3 linked regions of the Oryctolagus cuniculus genome follow. The protein of the gene in region 1 purifies or fractionates together with the protein of each later gene. This does not show direct contact. Links are inferred from orthologs where the notes say so. Each region holds a gene or a part of one and is shown in the gene's direction. Other genes may lie near its edges.

Region 1 (3,746 bases):
CTTGACAAACTCAACATTCTACCTGTTGCCAATTTGGTATGTGTGAAATTGCTGTATATTTTCAAAAACCAAAACACCTAGCCCCACACACTGGTCGGACACTACAAACTACCTACATCTCTCTCCCCAGGCCCCCGATGTCTACACTACTCTGAGTTTACTATTCTGAGAGTAGGACAGTCTCCTTATTCAAACGGCTGGATCATTTTGAACTCCCCCAAAGACGGACCAAAGCTTCGACAGGAAGCACGGACAATCTGCACCCTAAGATTCTCTGAAATCCTTGCCTGGCCATTTCCAACAATCCTAGACTGTTTTATCAAGCCCCTACACTGAAAGACCCACCCTTGAAGCAAACCTTCCATTTAAAAAAAAAAAAAAAAAAATCCGATCTTGCTTTTCTTCTCTACCAGGCACGGCCGAAGCTCTGTCGAGGTTCCATCACTGTTTTATCAACAAGCCGTGAGGGTGATGCTCGGGGGGGGGGGGGGGGAGGGTTTCACCTGCACCCTGGGAGATGCAGGTGATGGCTCAAGTACTTGGGTTCCTGCTACCTACATGGAAGACCCAGATGGAGCACTGGGCTCCTGGCATTGGCCTGGCCCAGTTTGGGCTGTTTCAGACATCTGGGGAGTAAACTAGCAGATGGGAGATAACTGTCTGTCTCATCTTTCTGCTCTTCAGTAAATAATATTTCACATCCTTTATAGAAACCACCCCAGCCTTCTATTTGATTCCTTTCTAAAGAGCCCGCAACCACGCCGGACAAGACCCAGAAGCCACAGGGCAGGAACCACTTCCGGCCGGAGCCCGCATCCCGTCGGGCCCCGCGGCCCCGCGGCATGCCGGGACCTTCAGGTAGGAGCTAGCGGCCAGGCCGGCGGCGAGGCGGACCCGGCAGGCCGCCCCGTCGCCCCCGCTAGGATGCCTAGTCCAGTCCCGCCCCTTTTCCGCGCTTCCTCAGAGAAAATGCAGCCCCGTGGCACCTACCGTTGCGGCCTGCAGGGCGATGAGGTCCACCAGACACCGACTTCCCGCCACCTCCTTTAAACTACCGCTAGCTGCCGGAGATGGGCGGTGGCGAGAGCTGACCCAAATGCGGACCGGTGCGCGCCTCCGCGAACGAAAGCAAAGGCGGGATGCTGTCCCTCTCCTGATTGGCTGGCTGTCCGGTCGGGCAGGGGCATCCTGATTGGTGACGGAGAGGGGTCAGGTGGGAAAGCTAGCTGTGGCCAGCGGGGATTGGCAGAAGGTACCGACACTCAGTCGCTTCTCGCTGACGTCAGTGGGCGGAGAAGTAAGGCTGGGACGCCACGATTGGTAGCTGGCTGATTGCGCGGCGCTCATTGGACAGGAGCGAATAGGCTACCGCGGGCGCTAGGAGCCCGCCCCGGCGCCCGGGCCTATTGGCGGAAGGGGAAGTGGGGGGCAGGCGGCGGTGGGGAAGATGGCGTACCAGAGCCTCCGGCTGGAGTACCTGCAGATCCCACCGGTCAGCCGCGCCTACACTACCGCTTGTGTCCTCACCACCGCCGCCGTGGTGAGCAGCTGCAGAGCCACCTTCTAATTATCCGGGCTGAACATGACTGGGTCTCGCGGAAACTGGAGTTTGGGCTTCGGCAGGCCCGGAAGGGGCTGGTCCCAGGGGTGGGTGGAGGTCTACCAGGGCTCACTCTGGGTTGCGGAGCGACCCCAGGAAGATGTGCGGATCCCTGAGGGGTCGTGTCGGTTTCCGAGAGCGAAAAGTCGGACCAATAGCGGGTCAGAGCTGCGGGCGCCGCCCACCCAGGAGCTCCGGCGCTGGCCAGGTGGTAGCGCGGTGGTGACTGGTGGGACGCAGATCCGCGTAGCGAAGAAACTTAAGTATTGAGGCTAGAAAGTTGAGCATTGTAGGGAGGGAAATGTCTTAAAATAAAGAAGGGATTGGCCGGAGGAACAGTGGCAAGGTCTCCAGGGTTGGTTATTTGCAGGCACTGCCTTGTGTCACCCAGCTGTTGGAGTTGGCGCCCGTGTGATGAGCAGATTCTTAGCAACTGCGCCCAACTGTCCTGTGTCTAAAATATCACCGCCTGCCTGCCTCCCTTGTCGGCCTCAACTGTTGCAATCTAAAACTATTTTTTAAGACCTTCATTTGTAAATTCCTTTTCTGCCCCCTTTAAGCATTTTTATTTATTTATTTTTAATTCCAGAGACAGATATTCCATCTGCTGGTCCCCTCCTTAAATGCTGGCAACAGCCAGGGCTGGGCCAGACCAAAGCCAGGAGCCTGGATCTCAATCTGGGTCTACCACCTTGGCTGGCAGGGACCCAAGTACTTGGACCATCAGCTGCTGCCTCGCAGGGTGTACATTAACTGACAGCTGGACTCCAAAGCAGAAGCAGAACTTAAACTCAGACACTCTGATAATGGGATGTGGGTGTCTCATGTCATCTGCGGTGCCAGATGCCCACCTTGCAGTCTTTCCTTTCTAAAAAAAAAAAATTTTTTTTAAAGACTTATTTGAAAGGCAAAGTTACAGAGAGAAGGAGAAACAGAAATCTTTCACTTGCCAGTTCGCTCCTCTAATGGCTGCAACAGCCGGAGCTGGGTGGGTCCAAAGCCAGGGGCCAGGAGCTTTTTCCGGGTCTCCCACTTGAGTGCAGGGGCCCAAGGACTTGGGCCATCTTCCGCTGCTTTCCCAGGCCATAGCAGAGAGCTGCATTGTAATGGAGCAGCCAGGACTCAAACCGGGGCTGCTTTCCCAGGCCATAGCAGAGAGCTGCATTGTAATGGAGCAGCCGGGACTCAAACCGGGGCCCACATGGGATGCCAGCGTCTCAGGTGGAGGCTTCACCTATTACAGCACAGTGTTGGCCACCGTAAGAATTCTTACTTACACCTGGTCGACCCCAATCTTTCTAGTTTTGTATTATGTGTCAAAGAGCAAGAATTGTATCAATGTAGGGAATTCTTTACCAACCCTTTCTTCTGGCCCAAGAAGAAACACTTAAAGGAATTCAACCTGAGTGACTAAGAATTGGAATTTGTTACATCCTTTGTTATAAAGGATGGAATTGTGTTTCTTGATTGACGTGCTGAAAGCAGCTCTTTTTTCATTTCAGCAGTTGGAACTGATCACACCTTTTCAGTTGTACTTCAATCCTGAGTTGATTTTTAAGCATTTTCAAGTAAGTAGCCCAATGCAACTGTGAGGAATGGTCCCGTTTCTTCTCTTGCTTAATGTTTCGTAGCAAACCCTATCATATGCTGTCTCGAAAAATAACCCAGTGAAGATCTTTGACTTTAAGTCTGGTGAAGCAGCGATTCTGCAGCTTCACAGAGTCCCCTCAGGGTCACTTAGGGAACTTTTAAGAGATCCTCACACTCCTCATCGCGTAACCAAATCACAGTCAGCAAGGGTAGGAACTAAAAACCTGTATGCTTGTGATGGGTCTAGCTTCTGTATTTGTGTATCGCTGGTTTACAGTTAAGTGTTAGTAGTTTGGGAGGAGTCTGATGAGTCTCATGGAGTGACCTTATTTTGTTCATTCCCTACCTTGGCACAGCCACCACTTTGGTGTTTTCGCCATGGGCCAGTTCAAAAATTGAGTTGTTAGTGCTTTAAAAAATTGATCCATTTTCCAGGGGTCAGATCATGCTAACAAAACTCCAAAGAGCCAACATCTAAAACACCATGCTAGTTTATTAGATGACGGGGGAGTGGATTAAAATGCTGAGCTAGACATGTGTTTTCCTGCGCTAGGAT
Region 2 (3,746 bases), on another chromosome or scaffold:
TCTTTAAAAAACCAGCTTCCATTGTCATTTTATGGATACACTGTTTCACCTTTCTGAGGCTACAGATGGTGGGGTTTTTAAATTTTAAAATATTTGTCTTATTTTTGCCCTCCCCTAATCTTTATTACCTTTAATTTGCTTTTTTTTCTCTTTGCTTGCTTGGTTTTGTTTCTCTCTTGTATCTTTAAAGTCCTTCCTTGAACGTCTAAGGACACTGCCTGGCTGTGTTAAGAGCGAGGAGGTCAACAAGCAGATTGGAGTCAGCTCAGGGCTGGGGCTTGCCTGTGGGATTGTGTGCCTCACTGCGACAGCTTCTCTTTGGGATTTTCCTTTTGTGCTGGAGAAATTCCCCAGAGAACGTTTTCCAGCGGCACCATGCTCATGTTTACCTTTGTTTAGGGGCCGATTTTCTCATTCTGCTAAGCCGGTTGCCGTTCCTCTGCCGGCTTTCCAGCTTCGCAGACGTTGCATCTGCCTCCTTTCCTTCTTTGTTCTTTGGTGTGTGTTTATTTTTTCTTTTACAATAATACGTGCATTAGCACCTTACTCCGTCTTTCACTGACAGCTCCCGTGATTCCTTTAGGATCATTTTATTGGAGAACAACTGCAGGATCGTGCAGAAAGTCTGACACAAATTACCTGATTGCCCTGAAGTAGTGTATATATGAAATGAGGTATGATTCTAATAATCGCTTGTTTCGCAAAAAGTGTTCATTAACTTCCACGGGTATCGCACACACCTATCCGTCAGCCCCAGTACTCCGCTCTGCGCGGGGCGGGACACTTTGCATGAAACGTCTAAAAAATACGCTAAGCAGAGATGCGCGGGACAGCTGGCCGAGGAGAGCGAAAAGCTGCCAAAAAGCGCCCAGGGCAAGACCACGCCTCTATGGAATTGGGGGAATAAGGGGTGGGGGTCTAATCTCGTCGTTGATTGGTTGGCATCTCTGGCCAATCACGCGCAGTGATTGATTGTGCCAATCGTCGTGGTCCACCTCCCCGGGAACTTTGGAGCCACGTTTACAAATGGGAATCAGGTACGTGAGAGGGACAGAACGTGTAGCCAATGAGAACTTGCGGCGCTAGTGGGAGGGGTGAGGCCGCTGCCAGGTTTAGGGCGGAAGGAGCTTCTCTGGTTAAGAAGGGGAACGAAAGATGGCGGCGGAAACGCTGCTGTCCAGCCTATTGGGGCTGCTGCTTCTGGGGCTGTTGTTACCTGCAAGTCTGACCGGCGGTGTTGGGAGCTTGAACCTGGAGGAGCTGAGTGAAATGCGTTATGGAATCGAGATCCTGCCATTGCCAGTCTTGGGAGGGCAGGTGAGAAGGCGTGTGAGGGGTGAGGGTCCGAGGTAGAAGAGGAAGGAGGAGAGAAGGTAGAGAAAGAAAGGCAGGTGCGGAGGCTGGGGGGAGCCTAAGGGGATCGGGAAGAGTAGGTAGGGCTGTTACAGTGACTCCTGGTGATCGCAGCCTGAGACCCATTCCCTGGGGCCCGGGGCCTGGGGGGAGAGGAGTTCCAGCTGTCAGCCTGCAGGTCGGGGTTCACGGTGCAACACCCAGTCTCCGCCTCCGTGGAGAAGTGGGAGTGCCCCCCAGACCACGGAGGCCTTTTGGCTCCTTCTGTAGCCGCCTGGGCTCCTCCCCAGGGTCCGCAGAGGGATCCGGGTGTTTTCTATAATCGCAGCCTCTCTTTGCGTCGGAGCCCCCGACCTTCCCTTCTTTCCCAGAACCAAGCTTCGGACGTGGTGATCGTCTCCTCCAAGTACAAACAGCGCTACGAGTGTCGCCTGCCCGCTGGAGCTATCCACTTCCAGCGGGAGAGGGAGGAGGAGACACCCGCGTACCAAGGGCCTGGGATCCCGGAGCTGCTGAGCCCCATGAGAGATGCTCCCTGCCTGCTCAAGGTGAGACGGCCTGTGGGGACGGAGCGCGGGCTTGGGAACCGGCAGCCGCTCTGACAGCTGCGGTGCCAACGAGTGCGAGCGGGACCTGGGGAACCTGTAGGAGCTTAGAAGGCCGGGAGTGGTCACCTGTGGGCGTGTAACACAGCCAGGAAAGAAGCAGACTCCTGCAACCTGAGACACGGGACGGCCGATCTCAGACTAGGAGGTGTCACTGTGGCACAGGAGGGGCGGCTCCTCGGGGAAGCCTACCTCCTGCAGTCAGCCCCTTCTGTCACTCGTCACAGTATCCCACTTTTTTTTTTTTTTTATTATAATGGCACTTTTCAGGAGATGAATATTAACTGAATGAGTTTGTTTATTTTTGGTCTGACTCCCAAGCTCTAGAATGTGGCTCCATGAGGTCATTTGGTCTTGCTCATGGCTGCCTTCCGGGTGCTTAGCATAGTGCCAGGAGTGCTAGTTGACTTGCTCTGAGTGCTTCAAGGATAACACGATTCCTTATCTTTATGGAAGGCAAAGGATTAAAAACAAAATCTGGAAGAAAACAAAAAAGGTGGGAGATCCCAGGCAGAGAACAGAGTTTGGGGTTCTCTGTGTCACAGAAGGAAAACAGCTCTTCCTTCTCAGTGAGGGGCTGGAGAATTGAGCGTGGAGGTGGAGGGAGATGAGAAGTAGACAAGAGGTTATGTGTCTTGGAGCCCAGGGCTGGTTCCGAGAAGAGACATCTGCATCTGGGCCCACCCATTCTTCGTTTTGTAATTGGCAGACCAAAGACTGGTGGACGTACGAGTTCTGTTATGGACGCCACATCCAGCAGTACCACATGGAAGGTGACTCGCTCGTCCGTTTCCCCTGTGTGGAAGGTGGCCGCCTCCCCAGCCCTCCTCCCGCTGCCTCCTCTTAGAAGACAGTAACTGCTTCCCTGTGGCTTCTCTTGCAGATTCAGAGATCAAAGGTGAAGTCCTGTATCTCGGCTACTACCAATCGGCCTTCGACTGGGATGACGAAACAGCCAAGGTGGCGGGAGCCTGGGCCTGGAGGAGAAAGGGCTTTGGGCTGCAGGATGAAAGATCTGGAGAGAAGGGGAGGGTCAGGTTCACCGACGACTTTCTAGGGCCTTGCTGGCCACTAGGACCCAGTGCCCTAGGGCCAGGGTTCTGAGGTCTCAAGGTCCCAGCAGGGACGGGGTGCCATCCTTTCTCTTTGCCGTCTTTCTCACACCCTCTCCCTGCGGCCCGATGTCTTCTCCAGGCCTCCAAGCAGCATCGCCTGAAACGCTACCACAGCCAGACCTATGGCAACGGGTCCAAGTGCGACCTCAATGGGAGGCCCCGGGAGGCTGAGGTTCGGGTGAGTCTTAACTCCCTCAGTGACAGCTCCCCTTCTAGAGGAGGAGGGCAGGCTGGCCTGGGACAGTGAGGTGGGGCTCTCCCAGGCCCTAAACCCGAAGGGGTAAGCCGCCTGTTTCAGTGCCGGCTATCCACATGCCCTTCAGGCCAGTAGTTCCCAGATCTTCCGTCTGTGCCCCAACCACGTCCTTGCACCCCCCCACATTTGTCCTTCCTGTCACCTGACTCCTGCTCCACGTTGAGCCCCCTGTCGTCATTAACCAACTCCTCAGTGGGGTCTTGCCATGTTTGTGGGCCACGTGGGAATGCAGTGGTGAGTGTGCAGCCCCTGTCCTCGTGAGATATGCAGTCTGAATTGCAGAAGTGAATCTGAGATTACAAAGAAGTAAGATGAAGGAAAGGAGTCTAATTCTCTCAGCATGAATAACACAGCCCATTCATTCTAGGCGTATCTTAAAACTCACCTTTTGTTTTCTGTGGTTGGTACCTGTATTGC
Region 3 (3,646 bases), on another chromosome or scaffold:
CATGTTTCTATGTTTTCTTTCCCTCTATCTCTACTCCAGGAGAGTAAGCTATCCTTTCATGTTTCTTGGAGGGAGAAAGTGGTCCATTTTGGCTGTGTCCACAGTCCAAAATGTATAGCTGTACAATTGGTGGTTGTAGTAAGAGCTTGAGCTGTCTGTACCTCAGAAGTTAAAACTTTATGGGCTTAGGACACATCAGGTTTTATTCATTGCGCTCTTAAGTAACAGTGGGACTTTTTAGGGATTAGCTTTTTAACTCTTGCTGTGTGCTTACTAAGACAGTGGAGGGTGGGCAGGGAGCTAGGGCTATGTCTAGTGAACTTGGTAGTTTAGACCTCAGGATCTCTTGAGAAATTCTCAGTCTTCTAGTTAACACTTCTAACTGTGCTTACACTTGTTCTTTTAGGAGACATTTTCCTTGTCCGGGGTGGCATGCGTGCTGTGGAATTCAAAGTAGTGGAGACAGATCCCAGCCCTTATTGCATTGTTGCTCCAGACACAGTGATCCACTGTGAAGGGGAGCCTATCAAACGAGAGGTGAGTTTTCTCTGTGATCCCAGCACTGATTCTTATTCTTATTCAGTGAGGCAGTCATGTTTCAGCTTTCAACACATTTTGGAACTAATTGGCTTTCTAGAGGCTGGAAAGTTCCTATCCACTTACTTCTTGGCCTTGTTTTTTCTTTCTCTTATTTTTTAATTTTTGACAGGCAGAGTTAGAGAGAGAGAAAGAGAGAAAGGTCTTCCTTTTCCATTGGTTCACTCCCCCAAATGGCCACCATGGCTGGCTGCACTGATCCGAAGCCAGGAGCCAGGTGCTTCTCCTGGTCTCCCATGCGGGTGCAGGGCCCAAGCACTTGGGCCATCCTCCACTGACTTCCCGGGCCACAGCAGAGAGCTGGACTGGAAGAGGAGCAACTGGGACAATCTGGCGCCCCAACTGGGACTAGAACCCGGTGTGCCGGCGCCGCAGGCGGAGGATTAGCCTACTGAGCCGCGGTGCCGGCCTCTCTTTATTTTTAAAAGATGAAAGAGTAAGGGGAGACAGCTTCCATCTACTGGTTCACTTCCTAGATGGCTGCAATGGCCAGCGCTGGGCCAGGCTGAAGCAAGGAGCTTCATCTAGATCTTCCATGTGGGTGGCAGGGGCCCAAACACTTGAACCATCTTTCTCTGCTTTTCCCAGGCCATTAGCAGGGAGTTGGATTGGAATTGGTACAGTGGGGATACAAACTGGGGCCCATATGGGCTGCCGGTGTGGCAGGTGGCAGCTTTAACCCCCTGTACCACAATGCTGTAGTCCCTGCTATACCAGGAATTTTTGTTGTTGTTACTGGTGTGTTTTTTTTTGTTTTGTTTTGTTTTGTTTTGTTTTGTTTTGAGAGGCAGAGTTACAAAGAGAGAAAGAGACCTGCCATCTGCTGCTTCACTTCCCAAATGACTGCTGATGGCTAGGGTTGGGCTGAGCTGAAGCCAGAAGCCAGGAACTCTATCCAGGTCTTCTTCCATGTGGTGGGCAGCGGCCCAAGCGCTTGGGCCATCTTCTGCTGCTTTACCAGGCACATAATGCCAGGAGTTTTAAAAATATAGATGAACCTGAAAGATAGAAGTCACTGGAATAACTGTTGAAGTAAAGCTGATGATATCATCCAGACCTCTTCTTATTCCTAGGGTTCACAGCTGCAGGTTTTAGGGAACCATTCCCAGGAGGACTCGGAGCAGTGTGAGAGGGAAAGGCTGTGCTAGAAGTCTTTGCTTTGGAAGTTTTAGTTGTTCTTTGAGCCATAATAACTTTAGCGGAGACTCTTCTTACACAGCAACATTTCCACACCATATTACTAGGATGATTTGGAAATACTCAGCTTCTGGTAATACAGTATTCCTGTCATGTTTCTTTGTCTCTTCCATGTTCAGGATGAGGAAGAATCCTTGAATGAAGTAGGCTATGATGACATCGGTGGCTGCAGGAAGCAGCTAGCTCAGATAAAGGAGATGGTGGAACTGCCCCTGAGACATCCTGCACTCTTCAAGGCAATTGGTGTGAAGGTGAGCATCCCAGGTGCTGGGTATCAAGACTAGAGTGGTGATTAGTGACTGACTATTCATTGTCATCCTGGAATGCTTTTATGCATGGCTTTCATTATTTGCCTTGGATTAGAGGGCAATAATATATTTTTTGGCCTAATAGAAGACTCTAAATTCATTAGGGCTACTGATGGTCTAGAACAGAGCAGATTGAGTTCTCTGTTGCATATATTTTTATTTTTTTATAACTTGAAAAATGTAAAATTAATTGTTGTGTCGTGGCGTGTACTAAAATTCTCACAAGAATCTACCCCCATTTCTATAGCATGGTCACCAATAGAAGGGAATTCTGTGCAGTGTAAAGGGTCCTGAGTCCAAGACATTAGAGATGCACTGGTCTACAGTGTAGCTTTCTGACCTTTTCTATAGGTGGTACATGCTGAAGGTGAAATTACTGTTTTGCCTAGTAAGCATTATACAGATAATTTCCTGTTCCATGTGGGCATTTTCTTTTTGTTTATTTCTTTATTTATTTTTAAAGATTTATTTATTTGAAAGAGTTACACAGAGAGAGAAGGAAAGGCAGAGAGAGAGAGGTCTTCCATATGCTGGTTCACTCCCCAAATGGCCTCAGTGGCTAGAGTTGAACCGATCCCAAGCCTGGAGCTTCTTCGGGTCTCCCATGTGGGCGCAAGGGCCCAAGGACATGGGTCATCTTCTACTGCTTTCCCAGGCCATAGCAGAGAGCTGGATCGGAGGTGGAGCAGCTGAGACTTGAACCGGTGCCCATATGGGATGCAAGCAGCCTTACCCACTACGCCACAGTGTCAGCACCCCCCCCCCCCCCATAGGCATTTTCAATGTCCTGCCTGTGGATAAGGCCACAGAAGAGAGCTTCAAAGAGGGAAACTTGAGGTTTACTCTAAAGATAGCATTCCAACGTGAAAATAAATCCTAGAAGGCTGTGATTACTGGAGTGAGTGAGCCTCTGGCAGTGAAGAGGATAGAGCCTGCTTTCTTAAATGGCTTCATATTTGGACCTTCATCTTTCTAAAATTGAGCCCTTGGCTCTCAGTTTTTTAGGGTGATTTATCTACCCTTAGTCTTTTGTGCAAGTTATACTCATAACTGTCGGTAGCTTCCTGGCAGTGGTTTCCCTGTTGGTAACAGGAGTACATATGGCCAGAGGTAAACTAAAGGTTTATTTTTCTGTTTTTAAATTGAGTTGGGAAGATCAGTTTAAATATTTATTTATTTAAAAAAAATTTTTAAAGATTTATTTTATTTATTTGAAAGAGTTACACAGAGAGGGGAGAGGCAGATAAAGAGAGAAGAGAGGTCTTCCATCTGTTGGTTTAGTCCCTAGATGGCCGCAACAGCCAGAGCTGCACCGATCTGAAGCCAGGAGCCAGGAGCTTCCTCCGTGTCTCCCACGTGGGTGCAGGGGCCTAAGGAATTGGGGCATCTTCTACTGCTATCCCAGGCCATAGCAGAGAGCTGGATCGGAAGTGGAGCAGCTGGGATTATAACCAGTGGCCATATGGGATGCCGGCACTTCAGGCCAGGGCTTTAGCCCACTGTGCCACAGCGCCGGCCCCTAAATATTTATTTTAATTTTATTT

The links.
Region 2: the proteins of DERL2 (region 1) and OS9 purify together in Homo sapiens (affinity purification with western blotting; 3 studies listed by BioGRID, with this or other methods). This does not show direct contact. The link is inferred for Oryctolagus cuniculus from reciprocal best matches to the Homo sapiens genes DERL2 and OS9.
Region 3: the proteins of DERL2 (region 1) and VCP purify together in Homo sapiens (affinity purification with western blotting; 4 studies listed by BioGRID and IntAct, with this or other methods). This does not show direct contact. The link is inferred for Oryctolagus cuniculus from reciprocal best matches to the Homo sapiens genes DERL2 and VCP.

The regions. Positions count from the first base shown.
Region 1 is NC_091448.1:50,846,253-50,849,998, forward strand, and holds the start of DERL2 (derlin-2), read left to right. Parts: upstream 1-1,298; 5' UTR 1,299-1,447; coding exon 1,448-1,540; intron 1,541-3,102; coding exon 3,103-3,168; intron 3,169-3,746.
Region 2 is NC_091442.1:60,274,835-60,278,580, forward strand, and holds the start of OS9 (protein OS-9), read left to right. Parts: upstream 1-1,092; 5' UTR 1,093-1,155; coding exon 1,156-1,317; intron 1,318-1,724; coding exon 1,725-1,901; intron 1,902-2,667; coding exon 2,668-2,731; intron 2,732-2,841; coding exon 2,842-2,918; intron 2,919-3,152; coding exon 3,153-3,251; intron 3,252-3,746. UniProt on the Homo sapiens protein: Lectin component of the HRD1 complex, which functions in endoplasmic reticulum (ER) quality control and ER-associated degradation (ERAD).
Region 3 is NC_091432.1:198,028,747-198,032,392, reverse strand, and holds part of VCP (transitional endoplasmic reticulum ATPase), read left to right. Parts: intron 1-406; coding exon 407-537; intron 538-1,913; coding exon 1,914-2,045; intron 2,046-3,646. UniProt on the Homo sapiens protein: Necessary for the fragmentation of Golgi stacks during mitosis and for their reassembly after mitosis. Involved in the formation of the transitional endoplasmic reticulum (tER).